Rhinolophus ferrumequinum: one gene and its partner. The protein of the gene in region 2 purifies or fractionates together with the protein of the main gene of each other region. This does not show direct contact. Links are inferred from orthologs where the notes say so. Each region holds a gene or a part of one and is shown on either strand. Other genes may lie near its edges.

Region 1 (7,746 bases), on a different chromosome or scaffold from region 2:
GACTACCACAGAAATGAAAGGAGAAACTAGAGAAAATGAAGTCTAGTAATCTTAATCTTTTCAGCTTCCCACTAGATTTCGACAATTTAAGGTTTTTTCAAGGACAATTTTAACGAAACACAACTTATTAGCTGACTTTACAAGCATACACCAGGCACCATAAAGATATGATTTTACGGAAATATTGGGAATGTTTTCTCTAGAGTAATGGTCTCAATCAGGGGCAAGTTTGCCACCCAGGGGGCATCTGACAATGTCTGGAGACATTCTGGATTGTTACAACTTGGGGAGGGGGTATTACAGGTATCTAATAGGCAGAGGCCAGGAATGCTGCTAAATAAACATTCTACAATACACAAGACAGCTCCCTCATAATAAAGAATTATCCGGCCCAAAGTGCTAAGCGCCGAGGCCGAGAAACCTTGTTCTACAGACACACTATGTTGAACACAGCAAGTCCTCCAATAATATCATTTCACGCAACATTGTCATTTTATTATAACGTTGATGAGATGTGATTGGAACTCTTGTTAATATCAATTCGCCTATGGTAAAACTGGTTTCGTTATACAATGTTTTGCTGCAGGTCCAAGAACCTATCGACGATGCCACATGAGGAATTACTGTATTTAGGTTCAATTCCAAACATAAAGAATGCACCAAATTGTCAAGAAATGTTTACATAACTTGGCTCTAATACTTATTGTTAAATCTCTAAATCCTTCAACCTTTCAACAGATTTCATAACTATAAATGTGCTCTTTATTTGAAATTAAACATCAGCACTACTACCCCTTACTTCCTAGGTTAATTACCACCATAAAAATATCACAATAAAAATAACTTATTTTTCCTAAGCTGTTAAATTGGTTCCCTAAAAGTTCTACTTGCTCTTAGCTATCTAGGTGCTAGTGGACGTGAATAAGGTCAGGTACCAAAGTACCATGTGAACTCTAACCTGGGCCCCACATTTCAGGAGCACACAAATACCCAACCTCTTTATAGACTATTTTTAGGTTTAACTCCTCCGTATTTATTTATTCATTCAAGCAAACACACTTACTGAGGTCCTACTATGTGTCAACCTGAATACAAAGACAAAAATATTTTACCAGTCTAATAAAAAGACAAACAGCTAAAACACAAAATGATTTGTGCTATAAATAAAAGTATCAAACAAGTGTTACGGAAGCTTACAGGGGAGAAAATGCCAGGAAAGGCTTCCTAGAATAGGGTGATGCTTGAACTGAGAAATGTCACAGAAAATATACCTTGTTCACATTTTAGTATTTAGACTACAGTTCTCTTCTGCTCTTACACACTATCTTTCAGTTTTTGCTTTGTCATCTAAACAAGAGCAAAGTGGTGATCCGAGTGATGTAAACAGACCAAAGCAGCAACAAATTCAATTTCATCAAATCTTAATGAAGAGTCAAAAAATACTTTTATCAAAGTATTCCCCAGTACCTCCATCCTGTCCAACTTCTGGTTTTGTGTTTTAAATATCCTGACTTCTTCCACCAAATAAACATAGCATCTGTCACCCAATTCACAAGCATTTCTTTCTGAATTTATAAGGCTGTCACAGGGACCGCTTACTTCTCTTTTCTTTCTTCTAGTTAGTTTCCTCTTCCAAAACGGAGTTTAATTTTTCTTACCTTCTTCTACTACAAAACTTTAAATTCTGTACCAGAGAGAAGCCATGAGTTTCAAGATACAAGAACTACAAAATGACTGTCTGCCTTTCTAAGTCTCAGCTATATTTCCTGCTTTCTACTCCAATACTGCTGTGGGTCATTAACCAGACACTTTCTTCTGAGTCCCCTGCAGCTGCTACAAATAAAAATTTTAGGTTTGGAACAGGAAACTAGCCAATGACTTCTGGTTTTACCGATTCGTTTTTCCAATACATAACATTACTAGCATTCTTTAACCAAAGTTTAAATTTAGTTTTCATGGTCTAGTTTTAGGGTACCACTAATCAAACAGAGCTGGTGGTAACTAAGTCGGAAACGCTACTGAAGACTGTACCTACTTCTAACTACCGACAGCCCCCGTCCCTCACCCCTACAACCGAAGGGAGTCCTCATAATGGAAAGTGGAACACCAAGGGAGAGTGATGTAGTAGACATATTTTTAGACTGGGCCAGATCTGGAATTGGCTAATTCTGTCCCTTCACTGGCCTCGGTTTCTTCATCTGTAAAACCTGTACGTGATATGAAGTAGGGAAATGGGCTTAATTTCTAAGATCCTTATGGCTATATATTATAGTAATCCAGAAACCCCATCTTTCTTCTCATCTAGCTTTACATGGAACACGTGGGAGGCCAGAAAATAATCTTTTACTCCACTAAACCGACCTTAATTCTCGGGTGTTTTAAAAAGCTAACAAACTCCCGACCCACCCACCCCAACCCTGGGGCTGCAAATGTCTCCTGTAGGAGAGGACAAGGCAAATAAAGCCCATCCCACACAACAGTCAAGGAAGTGCAGGGAGACCATATTCCTGGTGTTAAAGCGCTGTTCCCGCTAAGGACCGGCCCACCTAGTCACCGCCGGGCAAATGAATGAGCCTGGATTGATGGACGCTCCCTCAGCGTAGGCTGCGACCGGAGACACCCCGGACCCAGACCCCACCAAGAGCGATTCCCTTCCAGTTCCGGAAGAGCCGGGCCTCCCGGCCGCAGGATTGCGGGCCCCGCCCCCTCCCTCAGGGCAGAAGGTGCCGCCGGGGCGCGAGACTTCGGCGCGGAGAGGCCCTGGGACGCCCGGCGCACCGCCCGCCCTGAAGAAAGGAGGAGCCTGCCGGTCCCTGGCCGCCACCGCCCCGACTACCGACTTACCGTGGTGCGGTGGGGGAGGGGAAATGTCAAGAGTGAGGGCCTAGGCCCGTCCACCACCCGCCGCTCAGCGAGCAGCGCGCGGCTGCCACGAAACCGTCGCCGCCGCTGCCACCGCCGATACCTACCGCCGCTTCGGGCGCAGCGCACAGTGGGCCCGACTGCGTCACACGCCGCCCGCCGTCAGAGGCTCGCTCCGGGCGCTCCGCCCTCGCTGCCTGAGCATTGGCAAACGCCGCCGCCACTCTAGGCCCACCCTGTTACTCATTGGGCAACGACTCTTTTGAAACCCAACGTGAGGGAGGTCTTTGAGAGAAGGGGAGAAGAGGAAGAGGAGGGGCCTAAGAAGTTAGGGGGAGGAAGGGGGAGGGTTGGTGGGAGGGACGTGGAGCTCTGGCCCTCACCGCCGCCGTTGGCTGGGAGAGAGTCGTGACGTAACACAGGGCCCCTCGAAGTGGGCTGGTGAGTGGCTACGTTGGGCGGGGTGTGGGAGAAGAGCGGTGACGCTTATCGAAGCTCCGCCCACTTCCTTGGAGCGAAGAGACCCGCTGCTGAAGCTCCAGCCAATCAGAGGAAAGGCTCCAGGATGGCATGGTAACTATTCTACCCACACCTTGCCCCAATCCGTGGGCGGTGATGGGAAGGTTTCCCGGTCGTCCTTCCCTCACTTCTTGGCCAGACCTCTTATAGAGCTAGAGGGCCCCCCTGGGAACTCTGACTGCCCGCGTAGCTTTCCTGCAGCTGCTCCGAGGCCTTAAAACCAGGCCTTCTGGTCTCCTGTCCCACGCAAGCCCCAGCACCTTTCCCTCTCGGAATCCCTAGAATAGATGTTATGAGCATCAGAGATGCCCTAAGGGGATGGTTCAGCAAAAAACTTGGTACAAATGAGGATTCTTGGAACTTCTTTCCCACCTGCCCTTTAGGAATCCCCAGTTATTCTTAAAGTTCTGTTCAAATGCTCCCACCTTCTCTAGGATACATTCGCTGAATCTCTCTCAGCAAGTTGGGTTAATGCTTGGGCAGGCCTCTGTTACAGCCTTGTCACTTTGTATCCTATTACTTTCCTGTCTTCTGTGCCGCGGCTCTTGGAGGTCAGAGCTGCATTTTCTTCATCTTGGTGTTAAAAAACAAAATTCAACCAAGTAAATTTGCAGATCTGATTGGCTTTATTAAGCCATTCATTAATTGGGCAGCATCCCATCTAGCAACTGGAAAGGCAACTGAGAGGTTGTACAAATGGAAGGATTTTATAGGAAGAAGGGTGAGGCAAGGGAGCTATTAGCAAAAGTAAGGATTATTTTGGGGCTCTGACATCTTTTCTTTGAGGGAGGAGAAGGGGAAGGGTTTTTATTATGTAGATTACTCCTTTCTATGGAGGATGGAGAGGGCCTGTGTGACAGGTTACCTCACTGGTGCTTGACCAGAAATTTTCATAGTGGTTTGATTAAGGTCATGTTTCTAGGAGAGGTTGAAAATACAATTAGATCAATTATTAAATCGAGGTTTGGTATTATGGGCTTTTGGCATCAGTGATGCCATCTTGGGCCTATGGTTTTTTTCTTTAATATTGGTGTTCCTTTCCCTTGGGCCAAGCCTGGTGCAGAAGCCTGATATTACAAAGGGGAGGGTTGAGCATGTTCTAAAAACTAGGCCTAGTGACTGAGAGTCCCACATAGAATAGCACCGACTGTGCTCAGAAAGCCTACTTGATTTACCTCTCCACCACCGCCTGCCTCCTCCTGGGGCATCAATACAAAATTGAAATGGGCTCTGCCCAAAAGTAGGTGACCTTAAATCCCTGTGGGTTTTCAGTGGTGGCAAGAGATTGGAGATAATTGATTAATTTGTCAAACAGTGGAGTGGTCATAAAGATGAAATAAGATAATGGATAGGAGAAATCTGGTACCTTGTAGGTGCTCAGTAGATGCTTGAAAGAAGAAGGAAAAAAATACGTGGAGTGTCGAATAGTAAAACTAGTTTGAATATCTGACTCCAACCACCTTCCCCCAACTCCTCCACCCAAATATCTCTCTTTTTCCTCCACCCTCTCTTACCTATGTGCTGCATCAGAAAGTCATCAGTTCTCCCCGGATAGTTACAATAGCTTCCTCATTGCCCTTCTGAACCTTTGATTTGTCATCTTTCAATCCTCAAACCCAACCAAACCTTTCCCCTACTTACTGTGTTTCCCCGAAAATGAGACCTAGCCGGACAATCAACTCTAATGTGTCCTTTGGAGCAAAAATTAATATAAGACCTGGTCTTATTTTACTATAATATAAGGCCCAGTCTTGCATAATATATAGTATAATATAATAATATAATATAATACCGGGTCTTATATTAACTTTTGTTCCAAAAGACGCATTAGAGCTGATTGTCTGGCTAGGTCTTATTTTCGGGGAAACACGGTATTTAGTCTGGTGTCCTTAAGGCCAAACACACAGTACAGGCGCACATTAAATGTTTGATGCATGAATGAGTGAATTATTTTCTTAAGTAGAAAAATAGAAGTGTGAAATTTTTGAGTTGGAGAAGCCTGGGTTTATATTTGAGCCCAACCATGTATTAGCTGTATGAACTTGGGCAAATTTCTTAACCCCTCTGAGTCTCAGTTTCCGTGTCTGTAAAAATGGGGATAACCCTACTTTCCCCACAGGGTAATTGTGAGAATTAAATGTGATAAAGCACTTATCAGGTACCTGGTACACAGTAATCCCTCAGTGAATGGTAGATATTATTTATATTCTTTAAAAATGTCAAGGAATTCTAATTAGTCTAAGACATGATTCTTAGAAAAGGGGCTCAGAAATATGTCTTGAGGGAGTGAGGACATTCAGTCCAAAGTACTAGTGGGTGTGCAAGACCTAGGACCCTTAAATACTTGCGGGAAAACTGGAGGGAGAAGAGGACGAATTGGATGAGGAATGCTCCAGGGAGGAATTCCCTGTGAACATGGTGGTTTCGAAGTGAAGGACTCTTGTTAGGTACTCTGTAGGCATGTGGCCCACAAGCTCATCATTCTCAGGGATTTCTGCCCAGGGAAGAACTTCTACAGACATGGAGTTTGGTGTATGTTCACAAAAGCTTGTGGAGCCAAGCCCTGTTTTGGCATCAGTAGCCCAGAGATGTCCACAGCTCAAAACTCTGCCATGGCCAGTTCTGTCCTGGGAACCCCCAGTCTCTCACATACATGCCCTGAGAACTCACTTTATGCAGCAATGAGGAATTGGAGCTCAGGGAGGAGATAGTCCTCTAGAGATTGCAGAATCATGGAAGGGCAAGACACTTCCTTGGGATGGTTCTAGATTTCTTACATGGTGCATTGGAAAGAGCAGCAGAATTGGAGTCATACAGCTAAGTTCAACTGCCAGATCTGCTACTTTTTAGACTTTGCACAAATTATTTAATTGTTCTGTGCCCCAGTTTTCTTGCTATAAAATGGGCACAGTAATTCCTGTTTTATAAGGTGGTTGTAAAGTTCAAATAAGATAATGGAATTTGCAAAGGACTGGACTGGGTACATGTTTGGCACATAGTAAGCACTCAGTAAATGTTGACTTCCTTCCTCTTTTCCTATAACTTGATAGTGAAGGGTGATGTTTGCAAATAGCATGTATTTTTATAAATCTTGTGTGAATACCTTTGACTTTTTTTTTTAATTACTTTTTTTTTAAGATTTTTAAAAAATTTTTTTTTTAATTGGGGAAAGGGAACAGGACTTTATTGAAGAACAGTGTGTACTACTTCCAGGACTTTTTTCCAAGTCAACTTGTTGTCCTTTCAATTTTAGTTGTGGAGGGCGCAGCTCAGCTCCAGGTCCGGTTGCCATTGCTAGTTGCACTGGGCGCAGCCCACCATCCCTTGGAGGAGTTGAACCGGCAACCTTGTGGTTGAGAGGACGTGCTCCAACCAACTGAGCCATCCGGGAGCTCAGTGGCAGCTCAGCTCAAGGTGCCGTGTTCAATCTTAGTTGCAGGGGGCGCTGCCCACCATCCCTTGCGGGACTCGAGAAATGGAACCGGCAACCTTGTGGTTGAGAGCCCTCTGGCCCATGTGGGAATCGAACGGGCAGCCTTCGGAGTTAGGAGCATGGAGCTCCAACCGCCTGAGCCACCGGGCCAGCCCCAATACCTTTGACTTTTAACTAGAGCATTTAGTTCATTGCAGTTAATGAATTTACTGGTATATTCAGGATTTTATCTAACACTTTATACTTTCTACTGTCCTTTCAATTATTTTTCTGCCTCTCCTTTATTTATTTTTCCTCCTCACATTTCTCACTTGCGTTAGTTTATGAGAATAACTGTTTTCTTTTTTTAAGATTCTACTCCGCCATATTGACCAGATTTCTCCTCTCCTTTATTTATTTATTTATAATAATAATTGCCATTTATTGAAACCCAGATCTTTGTCAGATTTTTTAAATTGAGATATAATTCACATAACATGAGGATATAATTCACGTATAATAATAATTCACATATAATTCACATTCACCCACTTAAAGAGTACAATTCAGAGGTTTTTAGTATATTTAGTATTTTAGTATATTCACAAGGTTGTGCAACCATCACGACTGTCCAATTTCAGAACATTTTCGTAACCATGAATAGAAACCCCAGCTCCATTAGCAGTCGTTCTCCAACTCCCCCTTCCCCAGCCCCTGGCAACTACTAATCTGCTTTGTCTCAATGGATTTGTCTAGTCTGGACATTTCATATAAATGGAATCATAAATATGCGGTCTCTGTGTCTGATTTATTTCACTTGGCATAATGTTTTCAAGGTTCATCCATGTTGTACATCAGTACCTCATTCCTTTTTATGGTCAAATAATATTTTATTTTATGGATATCACATTTTGTTTATACATTCATGAGTTGAATAACATTTTAGTTGTTCC
Region 2 (7,898 bases):
ACAAGACCCTTAAGGGTTTAACAGAGTTAGGAAAACTTTGAAGACTGCCTATCCAGTTCATTTCTATTTGTTTATATGTATGTATGTTTGTTGTTGTTGATATATATTTTAATGCAGTGTGAAAGAGGGAGAATGAAATTCTCTTGGAATTAAGTTCTGTATTGTCAAGGATGGCTCTGAGGCAAATAGACTTCAAATGTGAATTCTTACACCAACTCGATTAAGGCTGAAGTACAAAATTTTTCAATATGCTAAAGGAAAAACTTAAGATAGAACCATGACAATATGAACTCTGTTTTACTTCATTTTTACAGGAAAATGAATATATAACTAATTTGTTTGTTTGAATTTATTTTCTCATGATTCATCAGTTATAGAATTCAAACTGAAGAGTTATCATAGCCCATTCTGATGTTCACTTTAGAAATTAACACATAAATAAAACAAAAGCCTTTGAATACAAACATCATCAGTAGAAAGAGGGTGAAATAAGGGGCACGTAGATTGCTGAAATATTTATACATAAGGAAATATGTTAGAAGGATTTAAATATAATATATGCATATGTGATACTCAAAGATAAATCACTAGCATGAAACTCAAGGTCTGAATTCTACTTCTGTCACGAATCCTCACACAGAACTGATTTTTCTGCTAATCTAAGAGCCTAGGGTCTTTTTCCTTTTCCATACCTCGGTTTTCCTTGACCTCTCTCCTTATCCTACCTCCCAACGCCCACCACCCAGTATTAACTAGAATTTTATTTTCTGGCATTCTCTTCCTAAACACAACAATTAATCTACCTTTAAACATATTTCCTCTACTCAAAAACATCTTTTGACCTAGATTAATCAACTTCAGAGGACCCTATTGTAATAGGGTACTGCAATAAAACAGTGCTTCTCTAGGAAAGGACGATGGTACCCTTCTTCATCCTCCCCAAGAGATCCTTGGATGTTCCTAAGAGGTGGTAAAGAATGAAGCAGTTAACAAAACACTTCCTTCCAGAAATACATGGTATTTTTTCTTAAGTGTGTCTCCTTCCTTGAACCCTCTTAACCTCCACTCTTACACTCCAAAACCACCAATCACTGCCTTTCCTTATATCCTACTTCTTACTACCTCGCCCCACCAAAGAAATAGGTTTCAACAAAACTGAAATTCTAGAACAGTCTCTGGAGTTGATAGTGGAGAGAGAGCGACTACAAATGAAGTGCAGATTGGCTTTTTTTTTTTTAATTTAACTAATGGACAATGCAAGTGAGTACTTAATTGAGGTGTGGTAGAAAACTATTCTTTGGTAGTTAGAGGGAAAAGAAAATCTCAGCATACTGGAGTTGGGATGAAAACAGGAATTTTCAAAATGTTATTCCTAATTTCATTTATCATCTTCCATAAAAAAAACTTTCATTAGCAACTAGCATAGGTTTGGAATGATCTGCTTTAATCTTTGGAGCCTTAGTTTGTTCATCTGTAACATGCTGACAGTAACAGTACCTTCACCTCACAGGGTAATTGTGAGGATTAAATAGATAACACATGCAAAGCTAAGAGCACCGTGCCTGACACATAGAAAGGCTAAAAAACATTAGCTTAAAAGGAATCTGAAGGATGTAGTATCTTTGCTTTCGTTCAGAAACATTTTAAGTTTTATTGTAAAATGGTATAAGTTTATCCTACTCATTCACTTAACATTTCAATTTAGAAACACAGAGGCTACCTTGGAATACTGATTTAGATAAAATCAAACTAACCAGAGACAAAGTTTTACGCTAAAACTTTACTGAAAAATACTTAGGAGTCATTATACTGATCAAATGACTGTCATGAAACTTTAAAAATGCAAATTCAGCTGTAATCATATGCAGCTGTTCTTTTCAAAATTAAGTCACCATTTGTTCTTTTTTTTTGACACTACAGTACTCTGCTTTCATTAAAAGGCTATAACAAGGCACAGCTTCTTCGATATCAAAACCTTTTAGAAACCTGGCTCAAAGGAAGACACACTGTTTACAGTGCGAGAAAGAATCCGTGTGGTCACTCTAGGACAACTGTCACTGTCATCAGCACGTCCAGATATCTCATAGAGACTTGGGTCCTGAGAAGTGTAGGGGAAGGCCGGTGTCTGAAACCAAGTCGACAGCTAGAGCGCCCTGAAAGGGGAGAGATTTTAACTGAGAATCGTAGAGGATGAAGGTCTGACTGCGGGGAAGCAGTCTCATGGGGCGGATCAATTCCGGGGGTGCACAGCCCGCTCCCGCAGGAAAGGGACGCAGGTGTTGCCCTCTTTCGGCGACCCCACCAATTTCTTCCCGGCGCCGCCGCCCCTTCCCCCCAGCCCTCCGGTTACCTTTCTCGTCCTCATCGATGCGCAGGGCAACAGAGATGTACTCGAAGGCCTGTTTGTGGAAGGCTCGGACGCGCTCAGCCTCCCCGCCCGGCACCGGCGCCGGTGGTGAGGCCGACGACGGCGCAGCCGGGGAGCTCCTCTTGGCGGCCATGAGGGCGCGGGAGAAGCGCTGGCAGAGCCACACGAAGAGGAGCCCCAGGTGGAAGGCGACCAAACGCAGCAGCGCGAAGCCTACGAACAGCGGGTAGGAGAAGTAGTACAGGTTCCGCTTATGCAGCGACTCCGGCGGAGGGGCCGGCCTGGGGGCGGGACGGGCGGGGGCCAGGCAGGGGGGCGGAGGCCTGGGAGGCACCGGGCTGCTGGCGCCGCCGGAGCCTTTTTTCTTCCCTCGTCCGCCCGGAGAATTCATTCACAGCTCCCACTGCCGCCGCCGCCATAACCCGTCTCCCGCAGACCGACGGCGACTAAGGGACGGCAGCGGCCACAGGGACGGCGAGGGCCAAAACCCCCGCGCGCTGGCAGGTCCCAAGAGCTCGGCACCTCCACACGCGGCTCGTCGGCCCCGCCCCTTTCTCCTCTCAAGGCCGGGAGCACAACCCCTTCTCCTCCTCCTGCGGTCGTTGGTTTCTGCCCCTCCCTCTCTCTGTCCTCTCAGCCGCCTCCGGTAGCTCAGAGAGGCGGCCGCGCGCGCACGCCGTCCCGTGTCTTTCTCCGGCGCGCGCGCGCACGCCGCCGTCTTTTGTTGCCCTGAGCTCCTAGTGCGCTTGTGCGGCGTCCGCCCCTCGGTCCCTTCCCTGAGGAACTAAAGTTCCCAGTGTGCAGTTCGGCTCTACGCGATGGGCTCGGACCGTCGCTGCGGGTTTAACCGCCCCTGGGAGCTCCTGAGCTGGGAACGTTGCTCAACTCACAGTAGGGACGGCAGCAGTTTGGCGTCGCTCGGCTAGGTCGCTGGGTTTCTGTCTCGGAGTGTCATCGTTTTCTTATATGTATTTCTTTTAGCGTTTTCTGCCAATCTTCCGCAAAGGATAATTAACTTGAGTTCTATCTCAAGCAATAGGTACCAAATCTGGTAATTATCTGAGATGGGTGCAGTAGTAGAGACGTACAAACGTAAGGTCACTCAAAACGATAATGTTAGCTCAGTGGAATGACGTCAACGATTCCAGAGGTTTAAATTAGTACATGTTTAGATGAAGACAATTTGCTTGAATAAGGGAATCAAGTTTTGGACAGTAATCATCCCATAGTTCACTGAGGAAACCATACGGGGCCTTTTTTGAAAAAAAAAAAAATTCTATTCGATGTACCTTCCTTTGGGGATCTACCTACATACCTCTGCTGCCTGTAGTCTAATGAGCTGCAAGCACAGAACCCCACCTCCCAGATCACAGAAGTAGACATACTAGGTCATTGATACTCTCCTAGAAACTGAAATCTTGGATGGAGATACACTGGGATAAAAGGTAGTAGGAACTGAGTGCCCTAAAGAGCTGGTCTATCAGTTCATCTCCCTGAGATCCCCAGAGATGCCAGGTTCCTAGACTGGTCACTTGATAATGTAACCTATCCAATAAAACTACTCAGTCTATTTCTCTGTTTCTGTTTCTCTTCTTCCTCTCCCTTTCTCCTTCCCTCCTCTCTCTCCATCCATCTCTCTACCTCTCTCTTTTTTCTCTTTTTATTTGGGTTAGTCATAATTGTTTTATGTTACCTAAAACTAAGGAATGCTAACTGATACAAAGTCCCCATTGTTTACAGTGTGAGGTTTACAAATGCTTCAGGCCAGCTTCCAAGAATCTCCACATTCTGGCCACAACTTTATCTAAATTTTTCCCACCACTACTTCCCTACAAATATAGGCTACTGTAAAAAATAACCATCTCCCTATTTCTTTCCTATTTTTCCTCTCTTCAACCCCTTTTCCTGCCTCTGTTTTTTCTGAAATGCCCTCTCTAATATCTGATTCATTTCAATTCCTGGCTTTTTTCTTTTGAACCCCACAGTACTTTTTGTTGTGTGAAATCTATTACATTTAAACATATATCATGTACACAAGATATGTGTAACATATCTGTAGTTTAAAATGATAAACAGGATCCAGTTTAAGAAAAACTAATGTAACCAGTTCCTTGAAGAACTCTATGACCCCTCCCTAATTTCAATTTCTTTTCTCCCCCTCTGGAGGAAGCCACTATCCTGAATTTTGTACTCATCATTTCTTTGACTTTCGTTTTAGTTTTGCAATGTATGTAGTTATCTCTAAACAACATAATTTTGCCTGATTTTGACACAATTATACTGCATGTTTTCTTCTTAATTAGCTTTTTCTGCTCAATATTTAAGTGTTGGAGATTTCTGCTTGTTTTGTATAATTATAGTACTTTTATTTTCACTGCTATATTCCATTATATAAATTTACCACAATTTATTTTACTATTTAACTGTTGGTGGATATTCAGTTTGGTGCCAGGATATATTTTTCCTTATGTAACTAACTTTTTAATTTACTCAAGACATGGCCCAATACAGTGTTCTGGAATCAAAATGGTTGTATTCAAATCCCTGCTCCATCACTTTCTGTGAGCTTGGATTAGTGACAGCTTCCACAGCTCTGTTTCAGTTTCCACATCTATTACATAATAACAGAGAAGTAGGCAGTGCCTGGAATGAAGTTGTTGCTTATTTGTTGAATGAAGAACGGCGCTCCCATAGCTACACATATAAACTAAAACTAAAACTAAAACTATTGACAAGTGTGAGCATTCTTTACTCTCTCCTGGGACTATAATTCTCATTCATTTTTCTTTCCCGTAGAATTGCTTCTCTTCCAACCTCCACTGTCAAAATCTTTCAAGGCTTAACTGTAATGTTATTTTCTTGATTAATCCTTCCCTTATCACCTCCAGCAGAAATAATCCTATTTTTTAATTCTTATGACAATATGGTTGTTACTCGATGGCTCTTTTAATACAGTGCCTTGTGTAATAGTTACTTAAATACTTTATCACCTCCTGATATAGATTATAAACTTATTTCAAGGCAGTGGACAAACTTTACATAATTTGTCTCACTTTCTGCACCTCGCCTGATGCCTTGCTGTTGGTATTCATTTAATAAATATTAATAATTTTAAAAACAATTCAAATATGGTGATTGTTGTAGATATCTGTTGTTGTGTAATAAGCCACTCCAAAACTTACTGGTTTAAGGTAACAGCCATTTATTTACTTACAATTCTATGAGTCAGCATTTTGAGCTAGGTTCAGCTGGATGGTTCTTATGCCAGCCTTGCGTAGGGTTATTCATGTGGATGAAGTCATCTGATGGCTTGACTGGGCTGGGTGACTTAGTTATCCTCACGCACACGTCCAGATGCAGGTGGTGGCTATTCGCTGGGGTATATGTCTCCAGCAGGATATTCCAGACTTTTTTATATAGCATCTGGCTTCCAAGACAGTATGAGTGGAAGCTGCAAACCCTCTTAAAGCCTAAACTCTAAAGTTGTACAATGTAATTTCTGTTGCATTCTGTCATGAAAGCAAATCACAAGGCCAACTCCAGTTTAAGAGATGGGAAAATAAATTCTACATCTTGATGGAGGAGTGGCAAAGGCACATTGTAAAGGGATATATTCATATATATATATAATTCCATATGGAATTATTGTGGCATCTTTGCAAGTAATCTACCACCATGATTATATGTAGAATTTCCTTTTACCTCAGGTTCACATTGGAGCTTAGGATGGACCACTCATCTAAGAAAGCATTTCCCAACCATTTTTCGGAATTATAGAAACCTTCTTAGTTTCAATCATGAGGTAAATTAACTTACTTAAATTTAAGGAGACAACAACAACAATGATGATGATGACTATTATTACTAACATTTACTGAACCCATATTCTGGGCTAAGCAGTTTAACTTTTACTCTCTTATGTAATCATCACTATTTGAGTTAAACGATATTGTTTCCATTTTTTTATTTATTTATTGGGGTGACAACTGTTAATAAAATTACATAGGTTTCAGGTGTACAATTCTGTATTACATCATCTATAAATCCCATTGTGTGTTCACCACCCAGAGTCACTTCTCCTTCCATTACCATATATTTGATCCCCTTACCCTCATCTCCCACCCCCCAACCCCCTTACTCTCTGGTAACCACTAAACTATTGTCTGTGTCTATGAGTTTTTGTTTCTCACTTGTTTGTCTTGTTCTTTTGTTGTTTTTGGTTTATATACCACATATCAGTTAAATCGTATGGTTCTCTGCTTTTTCTGTCTGACTTATGTAGCTTAGCATTATACTCTCAAGATCCATCCATGTTGTCACAAATGTTCCTATATCATCTTTTCTTACTCCATTTTTTAAAATAAGAAATTTGAGACTCTAACATTACTTGCTCAACAGCATATATTAGTTAATGACACATCTACTTCAGGTCTTAAGGTAAAAATCTAGGCTTGCTTCCAGAAAAAAACATTTTTATATCATCTGTTTATATTTTATTAATTATGAAATAAATACGTTTTTAGCCCCTGGAGCAGGAGTAATCTTTCCTTCCTGGTCATCCAGATGTTGAGTTTCTGGCCTCTGGCCTTCCACTTGTTAAGTCTCTACTATCCAGTTGTACTTAATTTTGACTGTGCATTTCTGTACCTTGGCCATTTTTTATTTTTTGGCATGGTAAAAATATGGCATTGAGAGTCAGAAAGACTCTAGTTCCGCCACTTAGTTGTGTGATGTGGGACAAGTTCTTTGGTTAACTCCTGTGTAAAAGAAACTGAATAAGAATTAAATTACAAAATGAAAAAATCTAAAACCTCCAGGAAAAGTCCTGTAACATAAGAAAGCTTAATCAATTTATTTGTTTTTGTCTCTTATGCCTACAGTGCCATTTCACAATTCAGAAAGTACTGGGATCTCAATTTTTAGTAATCGCAACCCACATCTTCTGCCTCTTGGAATTATATCCCAGTCACACCCATTTTCTGAATTAACATCTTTCTAAATGTATCTCAAGAAAAATAGTGCCTGAATGTCACCCTGGCCTTATAATCTGCCTGGACTGAGGATTCTAACCTCAGCCATTTAATCTACAGCGTGACAGCCTCCCAGTTTTCAGATGGTAAGAACTTGCAGGACACTTAATCTTGAATGGAATCTGGGCCAGTGTCACCAGGACAAAAAGGAGGAACTGAGTACTGTGCTAACTAATCCAGGACATTTGGTCACTTTATCACTTTAACCCATTAATCTATTTACGAAGTAACTATCACCAAATAGTTGTTTGGATATTTTAGCTCTACTTCTAAGGAACTCCCTAAATCTTTATCTTGAGATATGCTGGATTATTTGAAGTAGGGACCAATGACAGATGTTAAGGACCTCTTTTAAATGAAAAAAATAATAGTAAGTAAAATAAAATGGCATACCTAGAACCAAGAGAGGAGATGACTGATTTTGAGAAAAGCAGAAAACTTAAAAGAAACAAAAGACATGGTTGAAGGTGAGGGATGGGAACAATCAGGGGATTATCATC

The links.
Region 1: the proteins of SPAST (region 2) and NUP98 purify together in Homo sapiens (affinity purification with mass spectrometry; 3 studies listed by BioGRID and IntAct, counting the BioPlex papers as one, with this or other methods). This does not show direct contact. The link is inferred for Rhinolophus ferrumequinum from reciprocal best matches to the Homo sapiens genes SPAST and NUP98.

The regions. Positions count from the first base shown.
Region 1 is NC_046294.1:47,376,136-47,383,881, reverse strand, and holds the start of NUP98 (nuclear pore complex protein Nup98-Nup96), read right to left. Parts: upstream 3,101-7,746; 5' UTR 2,970-3,100; exon of another isoform or gene 2,845-2,969; intron 1-2,844. UniProt on the Homo sapiens protein: Plays a role in the nuclear pore complex (NPC) assembly and/or maintenance. NUP98 and NUP96 are involved in the bidirectional transport across the NPC. May anchor NUP153 and TPR to the NPC.
Region 2 is NC_046296.1:49,702,251-49,710,148, forward strand, and holds the start of SPAST (spastin), read right to left. Parts: upstream 3,045-7,898; 5' UTR 2,760-3,044; coding exon 2,351-2,759; intron 1-2,350. UniProt on the Homo sapiens protein: ATP-dependent microtubule severing protein that specifically recognizes and cuts microtubules that are polyglutamylated.